Linked DNA regions of Ovis aries. The protein of the gene in region 5 purifies or fractionates together with the protein of the main gene of each other region. This does not show direct contact. Links are inferred from orthologs where the notes say so. Each region holds a gene or a part of one and is shown on either strand. Other genes may lie near its edges.

Region 1 (5,896 bases), on a different chromosome or scaffold from region 5:
GTGATGCTGGAACTGGACTTTGAAGAATGAGTAAGAGTTTTCCAGTAGGGAATGAGGAAAGAGAAGATATTCCAGTTGGAGGCAAGGGGATTTGCAGAGGCGTAAAGTTACAGAAGTTGTTTGGAGGAGGGTAACAAAGTCAGCGTAGGAGCTTCAGGTGTTTAAGATGGAGGGGATGAGATTGGGAAAGGGAGTTCAGGTCAAAGCATTGGCTCAGGTGAGAGAAACTTCTGTCTTCAAGCCAAGGGGGGCTCTGTAGTATGGAGAAAGGCCAGTGGCTGCACTGGAGAGAGGTTTCATAGGTGAAACAGATAGATTCAGGGGTAGATTTTCTGTGTGAATTGAGAGGAGGGCAGTGAGGGAAACAAAGGTCAGCAGAGGAGTCTGGAAGGAGGGCAGGGTTCAGGTGGATGGAACAAAGTTGTGAGATGTAGATTCTAAAAACCTGGCTCTGGGGACTTCCCGAATGGTCCAGTGGCTAAAACGCTGCACTCCCAGTGTAGGGGGTCCAGGTGTGACCCCTGGTCTCCATCCCTGGTCAAGGAACTAGATGCCACATGCCACAACTGAAGAGCTCACATGCCGCAACTGAGGGAAAAAAAGACCTTGCCACGAAGACCCAGGGCAGCCCAACAAAGAAATAATAAAGACTTTAAAAGTAATAAATATAATACATAATAAAAACCTGGCTCTGAACCCATCTGGTATACCTCTGAGTATCTGTGATCTTGAGATGATCATCCTATTTCTATCATAATTTCCTATCAGTGGATAATATAGCCTCTATCTGCCGCTTATAATTGTTGTGAGAAACAAGAGTGTATCAGTAAGAAATATATAAATATCAGCCCCTATGTTATTAAGGAGGTAGTCAACTGCATGGGAAAGCACAGCTGAAGCAGAGTTTAGGTGAGGTGGAAGGTGGAGGATCTGCCCTGAAGGGAAGATTAAGATGAATGCAGTCACACACACATACACACACTACAGACAAATATAGCAATTTCCAGGCTGGGCTGGGTCTATGGGAGAGCAATAGGAAACTTGCAGCTCCACCAGGAAAGACCCTACCATTTACCCTATAGATGCTCTCACCTCTTTATTTGCATATATGGTGGTCCAAAGGTCTAAACTAGGGAACCAGAAGAATTTGTGAGTAAAATGTCATGCTGTGTATTTCTGGGACTAGAATCCATAGTCTCCAACAAACTCTCAGATTCCCCAAAGGTTAGGAGTCATTGATTTTCCCACCAGAAATTAAAGAATAGCTATCCTTGGCGAGAAGGACTGGTGGGGGAAGGAGGCATATTTTCAGTTTTAATTTTCACGTTTTCTGAACTGTCTGAATTTTCTAACCACAAACATGTGTTAGTTTCATTGAAAAAGCTGTCATCAAGGTTTATTTGGGTGTTGAGATAACAGGCCCTTTTTAGATTTCATCTTTAATACCTCTTTGTACTAAACAAACACTAATAGCTGTTATTTTTAAAAACCCTAATAGTCTTACACACACACACACACACTATAATGCAAAGAACATCTATTATGTGAGGTGAAATGTCTACATTTCCTATAAACTACTGGTTAATGCAGTAAAACTTTCATTCGAAGTAGATGAGGCGAAAAAGATAAAGGCACGCAATTTCAAGTATTTCAACTCAGACGCATAAAAACAATGTGTATACGTGTCATTCTTCATTGGTACTGTCTCCTTATTCCCTTGAACCTGCCAATGTGCGAGCCGTTGGCCTTTGATGCTTGAAGCGACGGAACGAAGGGCAGGGTTAAATCCACTACCTTCTCCCCACGCACTCTAGTAATTACTCTATTTCCACGTCATGTTTCCGGGTGTGTGTGTCCCGACTCACGCAGAAACTGAAGTTCAAAGCAGGCGGGAGTAACCCATGTTCTTTTTGCTGTCCCCAGAAACCCATTTCGGGCGTTGGGCCCCTAAAGGATCTGGCGACACCTGAGGACTGTCTAACTGGCTGATTCCCACGTGGTAAGTGCCCCCAACCTTGCCCCCACGTGGTGCCAAGGGCCGGGAAGAGGGAGAGCAGGCAGAAGGGAGCCGCATCAGGGGCATTTAAAGTGTCTTGACGTCACGCACTGCCAGGAACTCAGCTGAGTTTTCAGCAGGACATTCCAGTCATCTTCCCTCCCTCCCCCCGGGCTCCTCTGCCCAGGGCCTTGGTTCTTCCCCAGTTGTTGCGGAGGGAGGAGCCCTAAGAGTCGGAACAGCCAGAACAGGGGCGTTCCCAGCCTTGTATTGGCTCCGCCCTTCCACCCAGAGGCTCTCTTCATTGGCCAGTGGGTGGGGCTTCGGATGTAGAGTCTGCTCAGCAGGGCTTCTGGGTGGCCGAGAAAACTGGTCATGTTATGAATTATACATGAGCGGCGTGCCTAGGCCAAGCGGGGGCTGGGCGGGGATTGGCTGGAGGGGCTGTAATTCAGCGGTTTCCGGAGCTGAGGCGGCGTAGACAGGGAGGGGGAGCCTGGGGTTCCGACGTCGCCGCGGAGGGAGAGAGCCCGAATCGGATCCCTGACGAGCACCCCAGCTCCGCGCTCTCCCCGCTTCTGCCAAGGGAGACTCCGCGGCCTGAGGGAGCCCCGCGGCCCGCACCCCGGCGCAAGCGCAGCCCCGGCCAGTCGGGCCTCAGCCCGAGCAGCAGGTGAAGGGGGTTTAAGGGTGGGGCTGCCCCCCGACGGCCTCCAGGCCTGGGCATCCCGGGGGAGGAGGGGCGCGCTGGGAGCTTCTGGGGTGTTTGGGGGAGTAGTGAATGGAAACTTCAGTGGGGTCAGGGGGATACGAGGAGACACGGAGAGTCGCTGTGAAGGGACAGTTCCCCGGGATGACAGGAGCCGACCTCTGAAGGGACGGGGTGCGCTGGAAGGAAGTTTCGTTCTTTGGAAAAAGGGGAGACGCAGAGGAAGAGAGAGAATGGACTGGAGGGGGAGGACCGTGGGGCGAGGGTACTCTAGGGTTGGGGGGCAGGAGCGAGGGACAGCCCCCCGACTTCCTGCTCCCTGGGGCTCTGGGGACGTTCCGGCCACGGGAGCCACTGTCACGCCGGCGGAGATCACGGAGTGGGGGGGGGGGGGTTGGCAAGCGCCTCCTCCCCGCCCCTCGGCGGGCCCGGCGTCTCCCGGCTGAGCCACTTCCTCCGCCTTGCCCTGTTCCTGCTCCTTTAGGAGCCAGCTGTGCCCCCCTGGAGGAGGTAGGAATAGGTGTCTTCCCTTTACAGCCTTGCGGGCTGTTTGGTTATGGGTAGGATTATTGCATAAGATTCAAGTTTCCTGTAGGGAAATTGACAGCCTTGTACTCTTTCTAAACTCCCCCCAGCCTTTTTCTGGGGTAAAGTCGTGTTTCCCTTCTCCCTCTTCCAAAAAAAATCCAAATAAAACCCCCATCAACCCAGCTCTAAAGAGAAATAAACCTTTTTCCTCCTTGACATTGTTCTTTTATAACCACCTGGTAAACTTGGCCAGAAGATAAATAATTGAGCCCTTGCGTTTACTGGATTGTGGTGTTGCTTAATTGCATAGAACAGAATGAACCAATAGAGAGTGGGAGTTTTCTGTCTCAGAGCCAAGATCTTGGGTAAATGCGGAGAGAGAAACAAAGACAGGCTGGCCTTGGCAAAGCCATGTGTGCAAACTTTACCTGTGTTTGGGGGTGTGGTTGCACTTCAGTTAGCTTAATTCAAACCGTCACCTGAGTGGTTTTTTCCATGTTTAGTCCACATCTTTCTGTGTTATATCAAGTGGATGCATGATATTGACACACTTATTCTTATTAAAAATGTATATAACATGTCCTTGCTGGTTGGTTAAATAAATAAAGGGCATATTTATTCTGTGTGTGGGTTGTAATTTTTTGGTTGGCTGAGCTAATACAGCATTGGTTTGAAGAAATCAGAACTGTAAATTATCTCAATCTTTTATATGTGGATTTAGACTGTTATGACTTGATTTAGCCAATTTTATGTTTTATATCAAATATGTCTGTACTCCCTGAGTCAGCACATTTATTTCCTTATTACATGTGCCAGGCTGAGCAATGGCACCCCACTCCAGCACTCTTGCCTGGAAAATCCCATGGATGGAGGAGCCTGGTGGGCCGCAGTCCATGGGGTCGCTAAGAGTCGGACTCGACTGAGCGACTTCACTTTTACTTTTCATTTTCATGCATTGGAGAAGGAAATGGCAAGCCACTCCAATGTTCTTGCCTGGAGAATCCCAGCAACGGGGGAGCCTCGTGGGCTGCCGTCTGTGGGGTCGCACAGAGTCGGACATGACTGAAGCGACTTAGCAGCAGCAGGCTGAGCTACTAGTAAAATTTTTGCAGTGACATTTGCACAGTGGGATGGAGGAAAGAAGTCTTTAATACCAAAAAAAAAAAGAAATTGTAGATGCTAGAGGCTTTTTTTGTGTGTATTTATTATTTATTTATGGCTGGATAGGGTCTTAGTTGTGGTGTGTGGGTTCAGTTGCCCTGAGGCATGTGGGATCTTAGTTCCCCCACCAGGGATTGAACCTGACTCCCCTGTATTGAATGCGCAGATTTCTTAACCACTGGACCACAAGGGGAGTCCCTGAGGCTTGACCTTAATCTCTATATTTGCTAGCATATCTACCACAAAGAACCACTAGAAAATTCATAAATCTTCTATCTTTATATGTAGTTCTTTTGGGAAGAATAGCCATCTAGAAATATCCATAGTTATGACTTGACCCACAAAGGGTAGATAGTTCATGTAACCTTAACTCTGCTTTGAAGATAAGGAAATTGAGGTGTAAGGAACGAGACACTTGCCCAGGCAGCAACATACCATAGTGATGGAGCTTGTACCTTCTGTATATTTTGTTTGCTTTTGACTATCTATGCTTAAGTATTAGGTCTTAATTTAGAGTGACTGTAGGCCCTACTGGGAAAAGTGTCAGTGAAATTCTAACACATACCTAGACCATCAATATCCTATAAGACTCCAAGGGAGATATTTAAAATAAACAGGTGAGTCCCGTTTAGGTTATTACAGAATATTGAGCAGCATTACCTGTGCTATACAAAAGGTCCTTTTTGATTATCTCTTGTAAAATAGCAGTGTGTACATGTCAGTCCCAAACTCTCACTCTCCTTCCCCTCAGGTAACTTTTTAGTCTGCATAATTTACCATCAGAATTTAGCTATTTGCTAATGGAAAGAGAGATTTACTGAGGCAGGTTTGTAGGTGAAGGACAGTCATGACCTAAATGTCATTTAAACCAAAGTGTCTTGTGGCTTAATCAGTGGTCATTTGTATCTCCAGAAGGTTGCTCTTTCCTCCTGCCTCTGCATGTCATGACTTTCAGATGGTGAGACAGGGCAGAGGTGGTGGCCATCATTCCAGAGGCCGAGTCCAGCACCTTTAAACCTTATGGCTTTCTCAGAGGTGATGTACAGATCAACAAATATTTACTTTTTACACCTTTGTGAAAGTTGTTATGAGGAACAAGATACCTTGTTCACAGACCTTGCAGTCTACTGCGACATCTTCATAAATTTCTTATCCATGTAATGCAACTTGATTTCCTCAAAGAGATGGTGAGACTATAAGCCCATCCTGTCCAGCAAGGCAACTGTTACATGTTTTAAAACATATAGCACAGATTTAGAACATTTCCATTATCACAGAGTGGAATGCTTCGCTGTTGGACAGTGCTTCACTAAGCGCTACAGGTCTTCAGAAGGAGGAGAGGTTATGAGTTGTCTAGAAGTCTTCTTGCCAGAGGAGAGATTTGATCTGAGACCCACATAATGGTTGGCATTTGACTGATGTAAAGAATTCGGGGCGAGGAGGTATGGTGATACAGCACAGACCCAATTCTAGTAGATTAGCAAAGTAAATGGAGGAGGAGT
Region 2 (5,820 bases), on a different chromosome or scaffold from region 5:
TCGGGCTGCCTCCTTCCTAGTCAAGAGTCAAGGGGTTTCTGCCTAATCAAATGTCTTTCACTTCTGTACTGTCCCCTCTGCCCCCTGTGCTGGCCCAGGTCGCCATCAGAGCTTTCAAAGCCCTCTCCCCATCTCCAGGCCTGTTTGCCTCAACTCCCCTCAGCCCTGCCCTACAGCAAAGGCCCCACGGTGGCCTCCACACTTGGGCCCTTGTTTGCAAGGCACTCCCAGGCCAGCAGGACAGGTCAGTAATAAACCGAGGGATGAAATGAGAGAATACCAGGTGTGATAATTGCTAAGACAATGAAATGAGGTGGTGGAGCTTCTGAAAAGTCTGGTCTATGCCCCCCCCCACTTTTTTTTTCTTTCTTAAAGCCCTAAAGCAAATAGGCCAGTTGAAGGAAGGTGTGCAGCAGATAAAAGAAAGCTCATACAAATTAATCAAAAAGTTGAGACTCCTATAGGCACATGGGCAAGGAACCAGAAAAGACTGCATGAAGGAGCACATGCAACTGGTGCAAGTCATTTGGAGAAAGGTACAACTTCACACATGGGAAGGAAAAAAAAAAAAAAAGCCCAGCTAACAATGACAGAAAACAAGGTAACACTTCCTGCTTGTTACATTAGTAAAATGTTCTCAGATTGAGAATACCCAGTGCTGGCATGGCTGCTGTGAGATGGGCATGTTGCTCTGTTGCTGATTGCTAGAGGTATGCTGGTGTGACTCTTTGGGAAATTAACTTGGTAATATATATCCAGAGCTGGGAAGAACCCCACACTGGGAATCTACCCCAAGGAACTAAGTAAACAGAGGTAAAGCTATGCACACAGGATGGGTACCATAAGAGGGGTAACTAAGGAGTGAAAGGTGCAAAACTGCTGGAAGGTCACTGATCAGAACATAAAATAGGATGGGAAAAAGCAAGAGGTATTGCTGGGGAGAGGGCAGGTCACAGATAGCCAGGTTGCCTCATAGGGGCCTCTGGTTGCCCCTTCCTACCCTGCCTCCCTTCCCAGCCCAGTGGGCCACCAGGCTGAGACTTGTCTCCAGCCACACTCCCCCATGTCTTGGTCTCTGGGATGAGTCCCATCACCTGGCTCCAGGGGCCGTGGGCAGCTGGGCTGGGTCCCCTCGCCCTTAGCCTGGGCTGCCTCCTCTGCAGCCTGTCCTGATTCTATTCCTTCTTCACTCCCCTTCCCCCAGGTTTCTGTCTCCCTCCTCTGTGCTCCAGACCTCAGTTCCCTGAGGTTACCAGCTAGGCTGGAGCCGAGTGGAGGGGGGCGGGGGTTTGTGTGTGCATTTCATTTCTCTCACATCCCAGTTCCCACAGGCAGAGGTGGGAAGCCACCAACCCTGGGGGGCTCCCTCCAGGCCTGCTGCAGCTGTGGGCAGGACCCCGGAGTGGGCTGGGGTTGAAGGCACCCAGGGGTTCCGGGATGTGCCAGCCTGGTGTGTCTGGCTTGGCCAAGTCGCCAGAGTGGGGGTGGCTGCCCAAGAGAGACACACCCTGCTCCTGTCCGGTGCTGTGGTCTCGGGGGTTGGAGAGAGGGTCGCCCTGCCGTGCCAAGGCCTGCTTTCTGGAGAGGGCTCTCTGGGGGAGGGAACCAGCATCAGGCCAGGGAGGCAAATTCTGCCCCTGGGCGGGGGTCGTGGGGGTCTGCCCCTTGCCCAGATCTCTGCTGGTCAGCTGAGAGTGAGCTTTGCGGGGGGGGGGGGGGGGGGCGTTCAATCACCAAAGTGCTCACTGCCCAGCGCCAGCAGCTCCCGCTGCGCCAGAAGCAGGAAGATATCCTGAAACCTGTTGCCACCTCCGCAGTGCAGGGCTGAGTGCCACCAAGCCCCCCTCCCCCGACCCTCGCCAGGCCCCCCGCAGCGCCGGCTGAGGTGGGGGCTCCGACACTGGGCCCCGCACCCACTTCCCAGGCGCGCGCGCTCCAGGCGCGCAGTGGCCTCCCCAGGCCCTCTCAAGCGGGCAGAGCTCGGCCGCGCACTTCCCGTAGGGTGGGCGCTGCGCCCGCCGCCCGCCCCCTTCTCCTGCCGGGCGCCCCTGGCCTCCGCCCAGCCCAAGCAGTGCCCCTCGGAGGCCGCGGAAACGCCGCTGCCCATAGGCCTCTAGCGCGCTGCCCATGCGCCCCTGGGGCCCGGGAGCCTCCCGAGAGCGGCGCCCCGCCTGCTCGCCACAAGCCCGCCTCCACCCCCAAACACTCGGGTCCCCGCCGGCCTGGTGGCGGCAATTGGGCCGTCCGGCCCGGTTAGAACTCCCAGACACAGCGCTCCGGGCAAATCCGGTGTCTTTTCCTCCACATCTACTTTCCGCCGGGGATGGCTTTTGCCGGGTCGGCCTCCTGGCGGGACTGGGAGTTCCTCCATGGCAGAAGCGGTTGTGTACCCTGCCCTGAGCTGGCCCCAGCCCCCCAGGGAAGGGCCTGGCACGCGGCGCTCATGGAAGAAATGCTCGGGAACAAAGAAGGCATGAATGAATGAAACCAATTGTTGCACCAGGGAGCCCGGGGGGTGGCTTTCTCCCTCAGCAGGTCACTCACCCAGACACACAGAAGCACACGTGTGCACGTGGTTCCTACCCTCCCCCCACCCGCCCCCCACCACACTGGCAGGCGGACACACACACACACACACAGGCACTCCGATTCCTGCCTCCAGGAAAGCCACCTACTATGTGCTTGCCAACACCTGGGGCCCCTTTGGCCGCAGCTGGGTGGCTTCCATCTCAATTGCCTGCCTCTCCCTTGCCCTCCCCCATCTAAGTACAGTACCTTGCACCCCCAGTGCCTTCCTTATCTCTTAGGGACCAGGCCAAGTCAGTCTCTGGGGAGACCCAGGGCCTGTTTAGGGAGCCACCTGGGGGGCCTCAGGGTGGTGAACCACTGCTGCAAAGGCGAGCCAGTGGCGCCTGGCAGAGATGCCACCAAATGCTGCAGCCTCCAGAACCCGTGTGCCAGGTGTTGGAGGGAGGGACTGAAATGTGTTAGAGGACGTGCAGGGCTATGTGCCATGGGTGCGGGCCAGGGTGTCCAAGAGCCAGAATCCTGCAGGTGTGCACACATATTGGGGGTGTACGAGGTGCAGGCCTGGGGAGCCAGCTGGGCTTCAGGAGTGCAGCGTCGGCCTCTGGGTGAGGGTTCCTGTTGGGGCTTCGTCCAGGGATGGGTGGATGTCAGCGTCTCTGGGCTGGGAACGTGGGTGGGGTGTCTGTGATGAGCATATGGGGAGTTGGAGATGGTGCAGGCCGGCGAGGGGAGCTGTGTTAGTGCAGATATCCCAAGGATGTGTTGGGTATCTATGTGTGTGTGTGCGTCTGTGTGTGTGTGTGTGTGTGGGGTGTGTGAACGCGCGCGCGCACGCTCTCGCGCGCCTGGGTGTGTACTGAGGCGTGGCAGCGTCTGGGATGGGTGCTGGCCTGAGTTGGGGACAGTAGTCGATGGTGACTTAGCGGCTGCCGGGGCGTGCACTGCAGGGCCCTGGGTCCGCGGTGCACGGTTTGTGCACGCGCGTGTAAGTGTCAGGGGGTGTGCGTGGCCATGGACACGGAGTGCACGGGCGGGCGCACTGAGTGGGTCTCCCAGGGGCGCGTGCGTCGGCCTGGCGGGGTGCGCGCTGGCGAGACTTTGGGGGCGCAGGGCGGAGGCGCACACACGTCGGGGGGGCGGCCAGGCGGGGTGGGGGTGGGGTGGGTGCCCGGGCGCCGCGTGCCCCGCTCACCTCCGTTCCGCTCGGCTTCCTGCGCCGGCTCCGCGCGTCGCGGCCGGGAAGTTTCCGAAAGCCCGGCCGGCGGGAAGCGCTACCGCCGCGGCCGCCGCGCGCCACCGGAGCCTCGGGCGGCGGCCTCGCCTGGAGCCGAGGGGCCGCTGCCGCCGCCGCCGCCGCCGCCGCCGCTGCGGAGGGAAACTCCAAATCCCGCCTCCGCCGCCGCCGCCTCCTCCCCTCCCGCCGCCGTCTTCTCCGCCCCCTGCCCAGGAGGGGCAATGTCGCCGGCGGAGGCGCGCGAGGAGGGAGCGGGGAGGGGCCGCGGCCTGCTTGGCGTCTGCTCCCACCTCCCCTGCCCGCCTGCCTCCCACCTGCCGCCCGCAGCCCGCTCTGCCCTCGGCGGCCCCTCTCGGCGGGGGCGGGGGGATGCCCCTGCAGCCCCGGCTCCCAGCCGCCTCGCCGCGGGGTCTCCGAGCCTGGGCCGCCAGAGTTGGGTGGGAGGTCCTGACCTCGGTCGGGCCTGGGCTGGGCTGCCTGGAACAGTCCGCCCTGGCACTCCTGCGGCCATCGAGGACCAGGCACAGCTTGGCCCCCGGGGCCACCTCCTGATGTCCCAGGGGCTAAGCTGTAAGGTCCGGGTGAGAGCATCCGAAGCGCCCAACCCGCGGTCCTCCGACCCCTGTCTTCTGCCATCCTCCCGTATCAGATTCTGGCTCCTGGAGCTTTGGGGCTTGAGTGCCTGGAAGGGGTGCGGCCAGGACGGTGGGGGTGGGTCAGGGAGGAGGTGCTGTCTGCAGGCCTGGGGTGCTTTCCTCTGGCCCTCGGGCCAGGGTCCGCCCCCCATAACGGGCCTCCTTTGGTTTTTACACCCATCTGGGAGTTGGAGGAGACGGTTCCCCTGCTATAGGTAGGGAAACTGAGGCAGTGGTTTCCCGGGGGTCACGCCGCTGTGTGGTGACAGGGCCAGAGTGGAGGGGGACGCAGGGAGGGCTGGGATGCCAGCGGTAGCCTGAATTCCCCTGAGTCATCACCTTTGGGAAAGAGAGGACAGAGGCTGCATGTTTGGGGATGGAGCAGACCTCACCATCTCCCAGGGCCCTCACCAGCTTTGCAGCAGTCTCTCTCCAGGGTGTGGGAGCTGGGGCAGGGTCCAGATGCCACCAGCCTGGCAGGCCCAGCCCGCCCTTTGGCCTCCTTCGGCCCTCAGCACGTGCTTGCCCTTACCACCCTTCCCTCTTGAGCGGCTGGGCCTTTCGGGGCTACCCTTGCTGGCAGGTGCATCTGTGGGCCGGGCTGATCGTTCACCTCCCATTCAGCAGCAAGGCCCCAGGGGCTGGCGTGGAATCAAACTGCCAAGACGATGGCACGCAGGTGGGCAAACGAAACCGGTGGTGGTTTGGGTGGGTCCTGCCACTCTGCCCCATGCTTCTGTGCCATCCATGCTGCCAGCTGTCCTGGAGTCAGAGGGCCCTTTGCTAAGATAGCAGCCTGTGCTAAAAGGCATGCCGTTCAGCAATAGGACCATTTTGGTCTGTCAAGGGGCAAAATACACAGAAACCAGAAAAGATGGGGGCCAGCTCCCCTGGGGACCCTCCCATTTGGGGAAGACACACGGCAGCCGTGCCCCTGGCCCTGGGCACTCAGCCCCCTGCAAAGGCTTGGTGAGCTGACTCACAGAGGAGTTTCTGGAAAGGTTGGAGGACGACCCCCCCCCCCCGCCCCAATTCTGTGCTTTAGTGACTCAGGGCTGAACGGCTGGAGGAGGAACATTTGGACTGGATGATGCCACCCTCACCCCTGCAGAGCTGCTATCCCAGCCCTCCCACAGGGCCTTTGCACTTCAGGCAACAAGACCCACCCAGCGCTGGAAGCGAAGAAAGCTAACCTGAACCACCAGGCCAGTCCTGGGAGCTCTGAGGACACAGACCTGGTCTGCCTGGGGAAACGGGGGCCACCTGCCTCATTCTCAGGGGCTTGGCTAGCCAGGCCTAGCCTGTGATCCTGTTGAGGGATGAGCTGGAGAACCTTCTCGAAGAGGACTTGAGTGAGAGGCCAGCCATGTCAGAATTGAGGCTGTTTTGAAGGCACAGCTGGGCCTGCCTCTGAGGCAGCCA
Region 3 (5,226 bases), on a different chromosome or scaffold from region 5:
GTGTGTGTGTGTGTGTAGGGTAGGAGGAGGAGCAATAAATCTGATCCATGTTACTTCATCTTGGCTAAAAGCAGAAATCTTGAATGATTCCATTTTATTGGGCAGTTTTTCTAATTTCTACATTTCCTTTGAACTTAACTATGTATTAAGATCTAATAAAATAATTTATTAAGAAAAGTTATCCTGATTAAAATAGTCTCTGTTGGTCCATCAATGGGGAAATATGACAAAAAGGTGGCTTATAATATACCAACTGTGTAGATCAGGTATTTTAGGTGAAGAATGACCACTTTCTAAGTAGTATACTATTAATACCATTAGTGATTCTGGAGACAGTATGGGGAGAGGAGGGCAGAGACAATGAATGCACCTTAAATAGAAGAATTAATATGATTTCATAAAATACAAGTTGTATAATTAGGTCAGTGATTTAACGTGTAATTTTATTTCATGATATATAAATATTAATCAAACACCCAGGAATCAGGCAGATGTCAAGCAGCTAGACAAATTCTCTAAGGAGGTTATGAGCAGGGACTTCCCCAGCAGTCCTGTGGCTATGACTCCATGCTTCCAATGCAGGCAGCATGGGTGTGATTCTCAATCAGGAACTAAGATTCCACACTTGGTGCGTGGTGTGGCAAAAAAGAGGTTACAAGCAGAGTTTCTAAGAAAACATAAACTGCTGTTTATGAGGAGAAAAAAAAGGCAGATTTCCAGACCAAACTGCAGTATAATTTAAGAGGACTGGGATGGGATCTAGAAACCTGCAAATTATTAACCAACTTAGTGGCTTTGGTAAGGGATAACTATGGAAAAAAGCTTGCCTCTATTTCTTATTCGAATTGGATAAATGGATGATGGTGGGACAGAATGAACATTATTAGGAGAATTAAAGTAGTGGCAAGAACAAGCCAAGATATTTTAGCCTAGCATAAGAGGTTCAGACTAGAAAAGGTATTCCACATCAAACTAAAAAAAAACCTAAGGTTTCAGAATAGGGAAATGATAGTATGAGAATGATTTTTAAGATTACTGATTTGATGGGATGAGCGAGCAAAGCTGGAAAGCGTCAGAACATTTAGAATGAGGTAATAAGGGTGAGCATCAAGGAGGAAGTACTGACAATTGTAACTAGAATCTCAGAGAACACTGGTAAAAACGGTCTAACTTCCTTTCACATATGTAAGGACAGGAAGTTAGTATTAAATAAGAGATTTTAAAAATATTATAAACACAATAGCAAGCAAAATAATAATAATAAAAATAGTAAGAACAAAATAATCTTCAACAGGTGTTTCAGATGTTTACTTGCATGATTCTTGAAACTCCACTAAGAGCTCAGGAGCAGTTTGTATTGCCTGGAAGGAGTATTAAAACAGCAGTGTTAGTTTTCTAAATTAAAACTAATGCATCGGTCATTATGAACAAAAAGCAGTTTACCTTCTCTAAGAAAGATGAAGCAATACTTGTATTTTATTTATATTTCTTCATTTGCTGTTTCAGCCAATTTCAGTTTATTGCCAAAGATACAGAGATTGTAGTCAAGAAAGTGAGAAAAATGGACTTCTCCGGTAGTATAGTGGATAGGTATCCACTTGCCAGTGCAGGGGACACGGGTTCAATCCCTGGTCTAGGAAGATTCCATATGCCAAGGAGCAACTAAGCCTGTGTGCCACAACTACTGAGCCTGTGCCCTAGAGCCTGTGTTCCGCAACAAAAGAAGCCACCACAATGAGAAACCCTCACACCGCAGTGAAGAGTAGCCTCCACTCGCCACAACTAGGGAAAGTCCAAGAGCGGCAACAAAGACCCAGTGCAGCCAAAAATAAAGTGAATAAGTAAAATAAAAGAAAAAAGGAAAAATCTACTTCTCCAAAATTACAAATTGGATGTTTAGGTTACAAAATGTCAAGGGTGTAATAGAGGGATTAATTCTGGTAGGGAGTGGGTAAGAGCAAAAAAGGCAGACAAGGGGACTTCCCTAGTGGTCTAGTGGCTAAGACTCCACACACCCTATGCAGGGGCCCTGGGTTCAATCCCTGGTCAGGGAACTAGATTCTACATGCTGCAACTTAAGAGTTTGCATGCCACAACTAAAGATCCTGCGTGTTGCGACTAAGACTACACATGGCCAAACAAACAAATAAGTAAATAATATAAAAAAATAAAGAGAGAAAGAAGTACGATAAGTTTTCAAGAAAGATATAAGATATCAGAAACTGTTAACAGATTTTCACAGTTCATAAAGATAGATAACTTGCACAGTGCTGTGAAAGCAAATCCAAAGGAAGATAACAGTTCTGTATGTTTATTCATTTCTTACCTTCTTTTAATGGAGTTTTGGGAACAAAATTTTCTTTACTTTCATGACAAAAAGCCTTTGAAGGATCAAAGTGTTTGATACCCAGAACTTTATTCAATTCCTCCTGAAGTTTTGCTTCACTTTGTTTTCTTTTAGTAAGCTGAGCACGGAGTTTTAACACCTCCTATTGTAAGAAAAAATACAATCAGTAAATAATTACTGAAGATCATGTTAGCGAAATGTGCTACGAATATTACTGACAATTCCACAGTTGCTCTTTTTTCAAACCTTAATGGCAAAAGCTACTGCATACAGGCTTTCAGACTATAAATTACAAAATGAACAGCTATGACAAAGAAGATAACAAGTCATTTAAATCTTCCTGTCCCTCTATAGGTACAAAGTCGTATTTCTGATAAAAGTAAATGGCCTTAAGGTAAAATAGCAAGTGAAGAAACAATTATTCAAGCAGATCCATAAAAGCGCTTTTTGTTTTTTAAAAAAGGCAATGTCCTGTTGTGTTTGAACTAATCCTGTTCCCTCTCGCCCTAGTACTTGCTTAGCAAAGCAGAGACTCCACACCAGACCTCTGCAGACTGGAGCAGAGGGTTCCCCACAACCCCCATCCCCCCACCCCACGCTCCCAGTCAGAGGCTTCTCCTGAGGAGCAGGATGTCAGCATCTCTCATCTTGCCCCCAGCTCTTCCTTGATCTGAACAACAGCAAATGTGGCTAAGAGGTGTGTGTGGGGGTCTTTTCTTTCAAGAAACCAAGGTGCAGGGTGCTGAAAATGCCCAGACCCTGATCACCCTTTACCTAGCTCATGAGACAATGGTTCCAAGCCAACAGACGCAAAGTGAGAGACCCTCAGATTGCTCATCTCCCTCTCCCCCAAGTCTACTAAACCTCCAGCTACAGGGACAGAGGTGTTTATTCACAGGAAAGCTTGCCATCACCCCCAAATCCAGATCTGAAGCCTTGTCTCAGAAATTCTGCCTAGGAGGAGAACACAGAGCTCCTAATTTATTCCCAGAGCAAGTGACTTCACTTACAACAGAGCTTAGAGAAGTTCAAGCTGAAGGATGCCCTTAAGAACAGTAGAGGCTGTGTGGTGCAAGGGAATGGGAAGTGATTAAAAACTGGGCTAAATTGTAAGCTGCCTAGTTTGTAGAAGAGAAGTGCTGAATAAGACAGGTGGGAGGAGCCCTCCTGGAGCCAGAACAAAGTCAATCACTGACCTAAAACACAGTTCCAACAAACGAACCAGAATCAGATTGTACATTGATTGTACACATTAATCTGTTGAGGAATTTAAGACCTGGGGCAATGTTGAAAATAACAGAGGGATAATCCAGCAACTATGTGTGATCAGGGAGAGAGGGAGGCAGCCTTACCCAAACCAGCATCACCTCAGGGTGACTGTGTACACACCCCAAACTGAACCTCCCTCAGCAGCAACATCAGAGGCACAAACTAGTGGGGAGTGGGGAGGAGGAATACACTGCACTAAACAAGAAAATAACAACATACCTGCAAAGGGATGGCAGTACCCAGAGGTGCTACAACATATTGTCTAAAACATCCATTTTCTAACAGAAAAATTACAAAGTACACAAACAGGAAAGCATGATTTATACACTGGGGAAAAGCAGGCAACAACAACTGCGCAGAGAGTAACCCAGTATCAGATTTATCCAAAAAAGGGTTTAAAGCCATTATAAACATTTGAAGAAGTAAAGGAACTTAAAAAAAAGGGAGTAGACTCAAATTCCTACAATCAGAAATGAAAGAGGGGCCATTGCTGCTGATATTATCAAAATCAAAAGGAATGTAAGGGAATATGGCACACAGTTGTGAACCAACACATCAGAAAACGAAATGGACATATTCCTAGAAAGACGCAAACTACTGAAACTGTCTCAAGAAGAAATAGCCAATCTGAGGTACGACTATATCGCTATAAACTTCCCTGTTAGAACTGCTTTTGCTGCATCCCATAGGTTTTGAGTTGAAATAGTCAATCTAAATAGATCTATTATAACAAGTGAAGAGATTGAATTATTGATCAAAAACCATCCACAGAGAAAAGTCTAGGTCCAGTGCCTTCACCACTAAATCCCACTACACATTCAGTAAAGAATACCAATAATTCACGAAATATTCCATAAATAGAAAGGGTGAAACACTTCCTAACTCATTTTATGAAGTCAGTATTACCATGATAAAATAAAAACCACCCACCCCAATATCAATAAAAGTAAACGTGACTTTACAAACCGATTTGAGATTGCTATTTTCATCTTTCAGTTTCACAACATGCTTGATTTTTTGCTTTAGATTCTGATGACCCAATAATTTAGCATATGAATCTCTTAGATTATTTAGTTGTTCCTGAGCTGCACCATGTTCATTCAACAAAGCCTGTTTCTCTGCTTCAAATGCATCCAGTTGTAGCTGAAAAAGATTTTTTTGTAAAGTTAAGACTTAAAACTATTAAATCCTACTTGACTCATATTAACTACAAGGAAAACTAAAGTGAAAGAAAGTAAAACGGCAAGACAGGATTTCCCTGGCGGTCCAGTGGCTAAGACTGCAGGCTTGCAATGCAGGGGGGCCAGGTTTGATCCCTGGTTGGGGAACTAGATCCCACATGCTGCAATTAAGACCTGTACAGCCAAATAATAAATATCTACACAAGAATCTCAACAACCACCACAACAAAAAAGGCAAAAAACAAAAATAGATTTACTGACTCACGCTTAGGGCTCTCCATAAATTGTCTTTTTTTTTTAAATAAAAAGTTGTTTTTCATTTCAAAGATCAATGAAACAGAAAGAAAGAAACAATGAAAGACCTGCTAGCGGGGCTAATCTGTATTACCACAACACATTATAGCCAATACTGTCTTCTGACTCTAAGTA
Region 4 (5,829 bases), on a different chromosome or scaffold from region 5:
ATGGGGACGCTGGGGATCAGCAGCTCCTGGTCCCAAAGGGACCACTCCCTCTAAATCAGAGCTGACTCTAAACCCTGACCCCTGGCCTTGGGCAGACTGGGATGGCCAGCATTCCCCACCTGGTCCCTGCCCCATTCAAAAATCCCAGCCTCCAGTCAGTCCCTCAGGGCTCCAGGGATATGACCACATGACCTCAGCTGGTCACAGACCCAGGGTCCTGTACCAGCAGTTCCTGCTCCATTCACAAGTGACAGCCCCTGACAGCACCTTCCACGGACCCCAACATCCACAGCCCCATCCCTCTCTTGGGAATCCAGGTGTTCACCCCTTGATCCTCACCCTGCTAGAGAACCAGGTCCAACAGTCTTGTTCAGGGCCCAGAGGCTCTTGGGAACCCAAGAGACCGCCTACTTCATGTACCCGCCAACCTTCTCCAAAAAACTCCTGTCTCCCTTCATGGCACCAAGCTTCACGCCCCCGCCCCCACCCCCAACAAGCCCCAATCTGGCTCTTGGACTCAGGGCGGGGGCCGAAGCCCCTGAGACATCAGTCTAGGGTTGGGAGGGTGTACTGATTTCCACCCTCCCCCCAAAATTAAAGCCACCCTTCCCAGCCCACCCGCCCCAGCCTCCTTGTCCCGGTAACCAGGCAACGTGTGTGCAGCGACAGTCCTGGGAGCGGGGGAGCAGGAGGCTAAAAATAAACTTTGCAGAAGAGAAGGAGTGAGAGAGACTACATGCAACACAAAGGGAACTCAGAAGGGAGGTGGGGGGCTCTGGAAAGGCCTCAGGCTGCATTCTGGGGGTTGACCCAGGCCCCCTTAGTTAAGCCCCCTCCCTGAACAACCTCACCCCGGGGCCAGGACCCTGGCTCCCACTCATGGCAGGGACCCTCCGCCTTCCCAGGCCAACCCCAAAGCCAGCTTTCCTCATCGGACACGGCATACATGAGGGCCTGTTCCCAGCTTTGGGGGGAGAAGGAAGATGGGGGGTGACGTCAGGGTGTCTCAATGGGGCTCTGTTCCCCAGGCTTTGGAGCCAGGAGCCAGGCACGGGCAAGGGGAGCATGTGTGAGTGTATGTTGTGTATGAGTCCACGTGCTTAAAACAGGGAACCACCCGGCCTACACCAAGAAAGCCTGGGGATGCAGGACCTCCGGGGCACGGGGGGGACAGTGAGGCAGAGACAGAGCAGCTGACAGAAAAACTGAGGACACTGCCAGACAGGGTGGAGAAGAGGCAGCAGACAGGAAGGGCTGGGATGGCGGGGCCCCAGAAGACACACCTGGATCCCACACAGGCGGGGTAGGGAATCTCCCAGACAGACTGTGGAAACCTGGGCGTGGGGGGGCGGGCGCGGGGTGCAGAATTCTCGGGCACCCCTCAAATTCACCTTAACTGCCCAAACTTTTTTCAAAAGGACTATGGGGGTCGGAAGGGAGGAGCAGTGGTAGAGGAAGAACACGCCGGCCTCCTGGGGGGCCCCACCACCTCCCCCACTCCAGGCAGCCCTCGGTGGCGCCAGGGCCGGGAAGAAAACAGGAAGTGGGAAACAGCCGCGGCAGAGGAGAGTGGGGCCGGGATAGAGGATCGGATGGAGGGGCGCGCAGCGGCCAGCCAGGAGGCAGATGGACCCATGGACCCACCGGGAGGCCAGAAGAGGCTCCCGCCCCTTCCCCCAGCCAGAGAACCCACACACGGCGCGGCCCCAAGACTGGGATGGGGGAGCGGCCCAGCCGGTCCCACCAGGCGAAGGCCCATAGCAGGGAGCGAAGACGAGGCGGGGTTGTCTCGGTCCCTCGGCCCCCTCCTCCGGCGAAGGGAGGCTCCGGCTGCCCCCGAGGCCCAGCGGCCCTGGAGCCTTCAGGAGCCAGAGAGTATGTGGGACGCACGTGACTGACCCTACTGCACTCCGAGCCCCTGCCCACACCCAGCCCCCTCCTCGGCCCCCAATCCCCAGGCGCCCGAGCCCGGCTCGGAGCCCTTTAAGAGCCGCCCCCACCCGCCCAGCGAGGGGGGGCGGGGTGGGTGGGCCGGTCGGGGCACACACCCGCACACAGGAGCCGTAGCCGCGGCCGCCGCCGGGGGAAGGAAACAAGTTTGAACAGCGGCGCCCGGCCCCCTTCCCCCTCCCCCGTCCCCGCCCCGGGCCGGATTCCGACGGGGTAGACGGGCAGGGGGCGGCTGGGACCCCTCCCCCAGCGCGCCCGGGCGCAAAGTCCAGCCTTGGAGAGCCCGGGGGCGGCGGGGGAGGGGAAGGGGGAAAGTCCGAGTGGGAGGGGGGGTTAATCCTGCTGCCCCCCGCCCGCCGACCGAAGGGGGGGGGAGGGGAACCTTGGTCCCTTAAGGAGGAGCAAGTTGGCGGGGAAGAGGGGGGCGGAGGGAAGAGACGGCCGGTTGAAAGAGAAGAGCTGGATGAGGGAGGGGGAACGAGGGGGGGGAGCCTCCGCGTCCCCCCCACCTTCCCCACCCTCCTCAACCCCAGGTCCCCCGCGGCGAGGGAGGAGGGATCCCAGGTCTCTCCGGAGCGACCTTAAAGCCGCGCGTTCTAAGGTCGGAAACAAAAAGTTCCTTTTTCGAACGTTCGGGCTGCGCTTTGGAACTTTGCGACTCGGCGCGGGCGGGGGAGCGAGGAGCCGGCGGAGACGGGCGGGGGAGGGGCGGCGCAGCCCGGACCCCGAGTCCCGGGCTCCCCACTCACGCCCTCCTCCTAGAGGCCATCCCGTATCCCCCTCTAAGCCGGTGCGGGGCACGCATCGCGGTGAAGGTCAAGGGCCGGACCGTGCAGCGCGGAACCGGGAATAGCGGGCCCTGTGGATAGCGCCCCCCCACACACACCCCGCACACGTCCCGGCCCCCGGAGTGCAACGTGACAGAGAGGCTGGGAGGAACCCAGCCACCCCCGTGATCCCGGGTGTCAGGGAGAGCCCAGGTTTTGGGGTCCAGGCAAGGAAAGAACCAGGACTCGCAGCACCCAACCACTGCGCCCAGAACCAGGAATTGGGGGCCCGGTGCACACCCCCGCTCGCACCGCAAGAAGCAACAGGTCTCGAGTGCTTGGGGGGTCCCCCGCAACTGGGGAACACTCGGGCTCCCCCAGAACCCTTCAGCCCCCCCAAAGTTTCTCCGCCTGGTTTCCCGGGGCAACAAGTCTCCCCCACACGTGCTGCCCCCGCCCCCACCTGTGTCCGCCGGGGTCTTCATGCTGGGGGGCCCGGGGCTAGGCGCCCCGACTCCGGGCCGCAGCTCCCAGCGCCCGCGCTGCCCCGTCCCGTCCCGAGCACGTCGGGCCGCCCTCGCCGATTCACCCGGCCTCGCCTCTCAGAGCCTCTCCCCTCCCCGCCGCCGCCTCCCGGGTTAATATCGCACTCCGGGGCCGGGACGCCCACGCCCCCCGGCCGGCGACGTCACCGCCGCGTCGCCATGGAGACACTGTGCCCGCCCCCTCCCAGCGCACTCACACAGACACACACAGGCACACATACATACACACGCGCGCGCACGCACACACACACACACACATACACACACACACACACACACTCGCCGGCGCGCTGCCACTGAGGACCGGCCGGCGCTAGGCTTAAAGGGGCCGCGCGACGGGGGAGGAGAGAAGGAGAGACTGGGATAGGATGGGGTCCTGGGGGTCATGACCTTTCTCTGAGGCTCCAAGTCTGAAGATAACTTTAAGTCCTCAGGATCCGCGACTTGCCGCCCCTCCTCCTCCTCTCCTGCCCACTGCGGGGTCCACATTTTCTTTGGAAGCCTGTAAGAGGGGTTGGGGGATACCTTATGATGAGTGTCAGAAACTTTTGTGAGGAGTATGGACCTTTTCGGAAGAGGCAGAACTTTCTCTGCAGGAGGCCGGGGGGGGGGGGGGGGGGGGGGCGTCGGGTCAAGACCTCGGAGGATGATCCAGACCACATTTCCCAGGCTGGCCTTACCATGCGCACCCCCTCCAACCCTGAGCCTGACTGGGGGCAGCTGTCCAGGGGTGGGGTGGAATGGGTGGGAAGCATTTCCCAGTGTCGGAAATGGGGAGGCGGCTGCCTCCTCCGCTCCTCCAGGGATAGGGTCTTGGCCTTCCAGATAGCCCCAGTCCCATCTGGGGAGGAAGTGACCAGAGAGAAAGCACGCAAGAGCCGCCCCCCCATCTGCGACTGCAGCTGTCTTGGGAACACGCTGGCGCCGGAGGTACCCCCACTTCCACCTCCAGGGCAGGGGGGTTCCGGGGGTGGAGCCAGGATGCGAGGGGGTGACCAAAGTCTGAACAAATGTGCTCCCCAGGGACACTAAGGGGTCACCAGGAGAGAGGAAGGCAGGGCTTAAGGATGAAGGCCAGTGCGTAGGGATGTGTTAAGTCTGTTCTCTGCAGCTGGGAGGAATGGATGGAGCCTGAGGCTTCGGGAAACAGGAAATCAGCAATGATCAGATGGCCAACAGTAGAGGGCAAACAGCAGTTATATTCACAGGCTGATCCTAGAAACAATCTCAGAAAAGACTCTGAGGTACCAAAAGAGAGGAAAGGGGGTTGGGGAGGAGATGCTCAGAGAGAGTGAAACCAAGATAGGGAGAAGTGAATAGAGAGGAAAGGCCTGAAGGGTTAGGTTCTGGGTGCTTAGGGCTTCAAGCCCACCCTCCTTTGGTGGGTTCCTAGAGGCCTTAGGGCAGTCCCTGAGCAGTGCCTCAGAAGAAGTCTCAGGCCTCTTCCTGGGGAGACCAGGGCCTCCCAGGAAGCATCACCCCCTTGGGGAATTATGTAACCTTGCCTACGGACAGTGCAGCTCCCCCACGGATATTGTAACCCTCTGGGAGCAGTGTGGTCCAGCAATAATAACCATCATCATTGTTATCATAACAGCTCCCGAATTGCTAACGCTCATGATGTGCCTGGCGCTGGGCCAAGCGTTGTCGGGACATCTTCTCATTGAAGCCTCACAAAACCCCAAAGAAGGGAATTCCTATTGTTAGCCCCATTTACAGATTAATGAAGCAAGGCTCAGAAACTGTCAGAGCCAGGATTCAAATCCAGTCTATCCAATTCAAAATCACCACCCTTAACCAGTATAGTTTATTATGTCTTTTACTGCCCCACCCCTCAGAAAAAGATGATGCCAAGTTTAAAAGATAATAGATCCAAACTACAGCCTCAGAGACCTCTATACTCCCACCAGAAGACGGAGACCAGGGTGGCAACCCAAACTGCTATTTCCTGTATGTGAGAGAGATTGTATAGAGCAAGTGAACTGATCTTTTTAAGCCTCAGCTTCATCATCTGTAAAATGGGGGTATTAATGATTAGGTTATTATGAGAAATCAGAGATTTGAGAAAAGTAGGCAATAAATACTGGTGATAATTAGCAGAAGTGAGCAGCATAACCTGTAGACAATGTAAGCCTAGAGATTCCAACTGTAGGCAGCAAACACACAAGCATGGACAGTGAAATTGCCTGTTAATGGCAGAATTCTACCCTGACTCAGCTGGATAATTCAATCCCACAGTTTCTGTGAAACACAGTCATGGATGGTGGGCGTGCCTCAGGGGAGACTTTCAACCACCCACAGAGAATGGGAAGCTCTGATGAAAATGACATGTCCACAGATATTATAACACGACTGCACCATGGAAGTGTGGACTGTGTTGGATAGTTCAGTTGCCTTGTGAACACTGGAAGCCACCCCCAGGAATGGTGAACCCCACAATTACTGTGTGAAACACCCAGAGGTTGTGAACTTGTGATGAGAACTCTCACCGCTGGTCAATCCTTGAAGACATACTATGCAACCAAGACCGTGTGAACTCCAGTGGACAAGGATCCAACCCCTCCCCC
Region 5 (6,005 bases):
TAGACTCTGGGAGTTGGTGATGGACAGGGAGGCCTGGTGTGCTGCAGTCCGTGGGGTCGCAAAGAGTCGGACACGACTGAGTAACTGAACTGAACTGAAAGAGGTTCGGGAGTAGGGCATTGAAACACTGAGAAAGACATTAGATTCAGAGACTTGAGACCCAGATCGGTAGACATGAAAAGAACCTCAGACATAGGACATGCTGAAATAAAAACGCAAAGATAGAATCACTGAAAACCAGAGCAAAAAGATCTAGAGAGAAGGAGACAAACACACTGAGGCTCAGAAATAGTCACAGACACCACAAGTTCAAAAATAAGAGTTGGACTCTTGAAGCAAGTGAACGCCGAGAATAGCTAAGACGAAGAGGGGAAACCCATCTCCCCGCTGCTTCTGGACCTCCACCCACGCCCTCTTTGGAGGGGAATCAGAGTGGGAGACCCTGCATCCTGACTGTCCAGCGCTGTGGTCTTGAGAGCCTGGACTTCCAGGCATCAACAAAACTCAACTAGACAATCTCCAAGCAAAAAAAATAAATGAACCCTCTAGGAAAAGAATGTGTGCGCAGGAGAAAACGGAGTGCTGGAGCCAAAAGCTCCTTTGCAATAAATATATTTAGCCTGTGAAGCAGAACCCAGGTTTAGAAAGCACCTCATTCTTATTCTCAATTAAAAAGAGGACATTGGTTTGAAAGAACAGGCTGAGAAAATGGAGCGTCTCCTGAAATTAAAATCACGATAGCCAAAGTAAAAGTGGTGGTCAGAGCAGTAAAAGGCATATGGAACGACGCAGAAGGGCCGATCAGCAACATAGAAGACAACTATGAGGAAAAGTAAGTGATGAAGCTCCTGGAGAAGAAAACGCACAGGAGAACACCACAGAGAGTCGAGCTATAGGCACCCCCGAAGAAGACAGCAAATCCATTAGACGTGATAAATTATACCGAAAGAAATTTTGCCTTCGGTCTAAAAAGATCTGGGGTGGAGAGGGAGAATTGAGTGAGTTCTCTGAATCCAGAAAAATAAACAGAAACCAACTTCAAGAAATAATCTGGAGGGGCCTCCCTGGTGGCTCAGTAGTAAAAAAAAAAAAAAAAAAAAAAAATGCCCAATGCAGAAGACACTCCCTCTGTCCCAGGTCCGGGAAGATCCCACACGCTGTGGAGCAGCTGAGCCTATTCACAGCAACTGCTGAAGCCCGTAGAGCCTGCTCTGCAACAAGAGAAGCCTCTGCAATGAGAAGCCTGCACATGGCAAGGAAGAGTAACCCCCACTCTCAGCACCTAGAGAAAACTCACACAGCAGGAAGACCCAGCACAACCAAAAGTTAATTAATGAATTAAAAAAATAATAGTCTGGAAAAGTCCTGAATTCTCAGAGATAGAAAAACACAGTATTTGATCATTTAAGAGAGAGAGAGAAAAAAAAAGGACTATTTGAAAAGCTGAAAGCTGGGCCTTCCCTAGTGGTCCAGTGGTTAAGAGCACCATCTAATGCAGGGGACGCAGATTTGATCCCTGGCTGGGAAACGAAGATCCTGTATGTTTCAAAGCACAGCCGAAAACTAAAAAGCTGAAAGCTGGTTTTCTGCCGATGTCTCCTCTGTAATAATAAAATGCCAAATAAAAATGGGAACAAGTTGGCAGGAGTCTGAGAGGGTAGGTTATCCATTAGACAACCTACAGGGGCTTCGGCTCCACGTTTTCCAAACTGTCGACGGTTACCCGCAGGAGCCCTGCACTCAGACCGCAAGGTAGAGCTTGAACCTTGGCTTTTCTGCTTACTACCTGTATGACTTTGGCCTCAGTTTCCCCACTCTTAAAACAGAGATCACAACAGCACTTACCTCCCTATTGCACAGAATAAGACAACAGATGCAAAGCTCCTGGCACCTAATCAGTTCAGCTCAGCTCAGCTCAGTCGCTCAGGCGAGTCCAACTCTGCGACCCCATGAATCGCAGCATGCCAGGCCTCCCTGTCCATCACCAACTCCCGGAGCTCACTCAGACTCACGTCCATCGAGTCCGTGATGCCCTCCAGCCATCTCATCCTCGGTCGTCCCCTTCTCCTCCTGCCCCCAATCCCTCCCAGCTTCAGAGTCTTTTCCAATGAGTCAACTCTTCACATGAGGTGGCCAAAGTACTGGAGCTTCAGCTTTAGCATCATTCCTGCCAAAGAAATCCCAGGGTTGATCTCCTTCAGAATGGACTGGTTGGATCTCCTTGCTGTCCAAGGGACTCTCAAGAGTCTTCTCCAACACCACAGTTCAAAAGCATCAATTCTTCGGCGCTCAGCTTTCTTCACAGTCCAACGCTCACATCCATACATGACCACAGGAAAAACCATAGCCTTGACTAGACGGACCTTAGTCAGCAAAGTAATGTCTCTGCTTTTGAAGATACTATCTAGGTTGGTCATAACTTTTCTTCCAAGGAGTAAGCATCTTTTAATTTCATGGCTGCAGTCACCATCTGCAGTGATTTTGGAGCCCCCCAAAATAAAGTCTGACACTGTTTCTACTGTTTCCCCACCTATTTCCCATGAAGTGATGGGACCAGATGCCATGATCTTCGTTTTCTGAATGTTGAGCTTTAAGCCAACTTTTTCACTCTCCTCTTTCACTTTCTTCAAGAGGCTTTTTAGTTCCTCTTCACTTTCTGCCATAAGGGTGGTGTCATCTGCATATCTGAGGTTATTGATATTTCTCCCGGCAATCTCGATTCCAGCTTGTGCTTCTTCCAGCCCAGCGTTTCTCATGATGTACTCTGCATATAAGTTAAATAAGCAGGGTGACAATATACAGCCTTGACGTACTCCTTTTCCTATTTGGAACCAGTTTGTTGCATGTCCAGTTCTAACTGTTGCTTCCTGACCTGCATACAGATTTCTCAAGAGGCAGGTCAGGTGGTCTGGTATTCCCATCTCTTTCAGAATTTCCCACAGTTTGTTGTGATCCACACAGTCAAAGGCTTTGGCATAGTCAATAAAGCAGAAATAGATGTTTTTCTGGAAAGCTCTTGCTTTTTCGATCATCCAGGGGATGTTGGCAATTTGATCTCTGGTTCCTCTGCCTTTTCTAAAACCAGCTTGAACATCAGAAAGTTCACGGTTCACGTATTGCTGAAGCCTGGCTTGGAGAATTTTGAGCATTACTTTACTAGCATGTGAGATGAGTGTAATTGTCCCATACTTTGAGCATTCTTGGGCATTGCCTTTCTTTGGGATTGGAATGAAAACTGACCATTTCCAGTCCTGTGGCCACTGCTGAGTTTTTCAGATTTGCTGGCATATTGAGTGCAGCACTTTCACAGCATCATCTTTCAGGATCTGAAACAGCTCCACTGGAATTCCATCACCTCCACTAGCTCTGTTCTAGCGATGCTTTCCAAGGCCCACTCGACCGCTCGGTATATGTCATCTCTGATCACTATCGACCCCACCCAGACCTGTCCCTCATCTCAGGCTTCTGGGTCCTACCACCACCCAGGTCCTGCAGCTGAGGTCTGGGGATGCTCCTCACAATGCATCTTACCTTACTCCCAACCCCTCCCTGCATCTGACCCATTGCAAACTCCTATACATTCTGTTTTTTCAGTATTTTGGAAATCACTGCTACTCAAAGTGTGGCCTTCAGACCAGCATCAGGTGGGGGTCTGTTCGGAACACAATATCCTGGGCCCCACCCCAGATCTACTGACTCAGGATCTGCATTTTAACAAGATCCCTAGTGGTTTCATATGCATCTGACACTTTGGGAAAGCACTGTTTTATTTTCTTTTTAGCTGAGATGTAAGTGATGTATGACAGCGCCTGCCCTCCACCCTGATTTTGCCCGCTCCCCGTGCTCCAGACAGACCAGACAGCTCTCAGCTCTTTTCTGCCCTCCAACCTCGCCACATACCTGTCTCTCTGCGGGTAACGTGTCGTCTCCTCATTCTTCTAGCATCTGTGGGCGTTTTAAAGTCACTGACTTTCTCCGGAGAACTTCTCTTGCCTGGTTCTGTGGTCGCTAAGCAACCCTGTGATGAGAGTCTGGCTTCCCTTGTGGTCTTCGACAGGGAAAGTGCACTGACCAGGAGACAGCCCTGCTCAGGTCCTTTGGCAATTGCTGTTCCCTCCGAGATGGGGTTTAGATACACATCAGCCTCTGCCGAGTCAGGCTGGCGCGAGCCAGGCCCGGTGGGGAGAATCATCTAGCTAGACTGACAACGACAAATTTCCAGAAGCAGGGAGCTGAGAACCTGAGAACATGGCTCTGGAGAGCCAGGAGCCCACGGAAGCCGCTATCCAAGCCTAAGTGAAAGTTGCTCAGTCGCGTCAGACTCTTTGCGACCCCATGGACTATACATACAGTCCACGGACTTCTGCAGGCCAGAATACTTGAGTGGATAGCTGTTCCCTTCTTCCGGAGATCTTCCCAACCCAGGGATCAAACCCAGGTCTCCCACATTGCAGGCGGATTCTTTACCAGCTGAGCCAGCAGGGAAGCCCAAGACCTAAGCCCCTGCTTAGAGGGCTTGCTGGATGTCTTCCTGAGTGTCCCTCTAGAGGCGACAGTGCGCAGATCTGTGGTCTTGGAAGACATGGGCATCTGTTGTTTTCTGCCTACATTGACCCCTTCTCCTTCTGGTAGCAACAATCCAGTTTTCTTTCTGTGGGGGGTGAACTCTCCCTTCTACACACTTAGAGCATTTGGCCCCACCCCCCAAGTCAGGAATAAGCTTGTGACCCAGGGATCTCCAGTCAGAGTCACAGATGTTGGTTCAAAAGATGAGCGTGAGACCTGATCCAAGCCAATGGCACTCAGCCCAGCCTTCTGCAGAAGCAACTAGAAAGGGGCACTTCCCTTCCGCCAAGGTTGCCAGGGCAGGGGGTATGGGACTGGGGCCAAACACGCCACAGCCTGAGAACCACCCTCTAGGGTAAAGCTGGGACGGGGAAGCAGGGTCCAGGGACGGAGCCAATTTCCTGACGACACGGTCTAACGATTCAGCCAAGGCTGGACTTCACAAGTGCGTGAGACAATATCTATTCTCCTTTTTAACTGAAGTCAATTTGAGGTAGGGTTTTGTCACTTGCAACCACAAGAGTCTGTGACTAATACACGACCCAACTAACTCCCTTTTCTGCAAAAATTGCTCAGAATCATACAATAAATCACTGGGACATGAATCAGAAACTCATGAATGATGAAATGAGAGAAAAGAACTGGCAGTGAGCCTCGAAACCAGCTAAAGATGGAGAGATAACTGAATAAAAACACCACTCAGTAGAGACTGAGGCTGATGAGCTGAAGTAATTGTTGTTGCTATGGTAACAAACAAACGGCAAAAGGGAAAAATTGAGAAAGAGGATTTTTTTTAAACCGGGGTTTTAACCTCAGATTAATGCAATGGAAACCAGAGAGGAAGAAAGAGGGAAAAGCAAGGTACTAAGCCTTCGTTTTGCATAAAACGGAGAAAAGAGTTCTTGTAAAAGATCGCGTAATTTCTTTTTTTTTCAGTGTAAAAAGTTTTATGTCTGCCTGATCGACTATTTGCCGCTTTTGTTGTGGTCCAGTCGCCGCATCCTGACTCCTCTGTCCTCCACTGTCTCCCGGAGTTTGCTCAAGTTTGTGCTTATGAGTCAGTGATGCTATCTGACCATCTCATCTTCTGCCACCCCCTTCTCCTTTTGCCTTCAATCTTCCCCAGCATCAGGGTCTTTTTCAATGAGGTAGCTCTTCGTGTCAAGTTACAAGAGATAAAGGGAAGAAGGTAATTCAAACAACAAAAATCGAGACCTATAACCAGAGGTGTAATAGACACTTTCCTCACATTATAATCAGAAAAGAAATGGCAAGGAATCATTAAAAAAAAAAATAAAGTCAAAATACTAGAAAATTAGATGACAGAAAGTTAAAGTAGGTCTAACAAATAAGGGAAATGTTAAAAAAAAAAACACCTAAGTAGCTAAAATCCCTGTATAAAAATATGAAAATCTCAGCTCAAAGGACAAACTCTGAGT

The links.
Region 1: the proteins of MAPK1 (region 5) and STAT3 purify together in Homo sapiens (affinity purification with western blotting; 3 studies listed by BioGRID and IntAct, with this or other methods). This does not show direct contact. The link is inferred for Ovis aries from reciprocal best matches to the Homo sapiens genes MAPK1 and STAT3.
Region 2: the proteins of MAPK1 (region 5) and DUSP9 purify together in Homo sapiens (affinity purification with mass spectrometry; 5 studies listed by BioGRID and IntAct, with this or other methods). This does not show direct contact. The link is inferred for Ovis aries from reciprocal best matches to the Homo sapiens genes MAPK1 and DUSP9.
Region 3: the proteins of MAPK1 (region 5) and hyaluronan mediated motility receptor purify together in Homo sapiens (affinity purification with mass spectrometry; 4 studies listed by BioGRID and IntAct, with this or other methods). This does not show direct contact. The link is inferred for Ovis aries from reciprocal best matches to the Homo sapiens genes MAPK1 and HMMR.
Region 4: the proteins of MAPK1 (region 5) and ERF purify together in Homo sapiens (co-immunoprecipitation; 3 studies listed by BioGRID and IntAct, with this or other methods). This does not show direct contact. The link is inferred for Ovis aries from reciprocal best matches to the Homo sapiens genes MAPK1 and ERF.

The regions. Positions count from the first base shown.
Region 1 is NC_056064.1:42,219,636-42,225,531, reverse strand, and holds the start of STAT3 (signal transducer and activator of transcription 3), read left to right. Parts: upstream 1-2,494; 5' UTR 2,495-2,669; intron 2,670-5,896. UniProt on the Homo sapiens protein: Signal transducer and transcription activator that mediates cellular responses to interleukins, KITLG/SCF, LEP and other growth factors. Once activated, recruits coactivators, such as NCOA1 or MED1, to the promoter region of the target gene.
Region 2 is NC_056080.1:80,630,316-80,636,135, forward strand, and holds the start of DUSP9 (dual specificity protein phosphatase 9), read right to left. Parts: upstream 3,870-5,820; 5' UTR 3,722-3,869; intron 1-3,721. UniProt on the Homo sapiens protein: Inactivates MAP kinases. Has a specificity for the ERK family.
Region 3 is NC_056058.1:72,740,920-72,746,145, reverse strand, and holds the end of hyaluronan mediated motility receptor, read right to left. Parts: intron 4,760-5,226; coding exon 4,583-4,759; intron 2,490-4,582; coding exon 2,327-2,489; intron 1,362-2,326; coding exon 1,342-1,361; 3' UTR 423-1,341; downstream 1-422. UniProt on the Homo sapiens protein: Receptor for hyaluronic acid (HA). Involved in cell motility. When hyaluronan binds to HMMR, the phosphorylation of a number of proteins, including PTK2/FAK1 occurs.
Region 4 is NC_056067.1:50,600,033-50,605,861, reverse strand, and holds the start of ERF (ETS domain-containing transcription factor ERF), read right to left. Parts: upstream 3,334-5,829; 5' UTR 3,203-3,333; coding exon 3,181-3,202; intron 1-3,180. UniProt on the Homo sapiens protein: Potent transcriptional repressor that binds to the H1 element of the Ets2 promoter. May regulate other genes involved in cellular proliferation.
Region 5 is NC_056070.1:72,033,737-72,039,741, reverse strand, and holds the start of MAPK1 (mitogen-activated protein kinase 1), read right to left. Parts: upstream 3,950-6,005; 5' UTR 3,935-3,949; coding exon 3,901-3,934; intron 1-3,900. UniProt on the Homo sapiens protein: Serine/threonine kinase which acts as an essential component of the MAP kinase signal transduction pathway. MAPK1/ERK2 and MAPK3/ERK1 are the 2 MAPKs which play an important role in the MAPK/ERK cascade.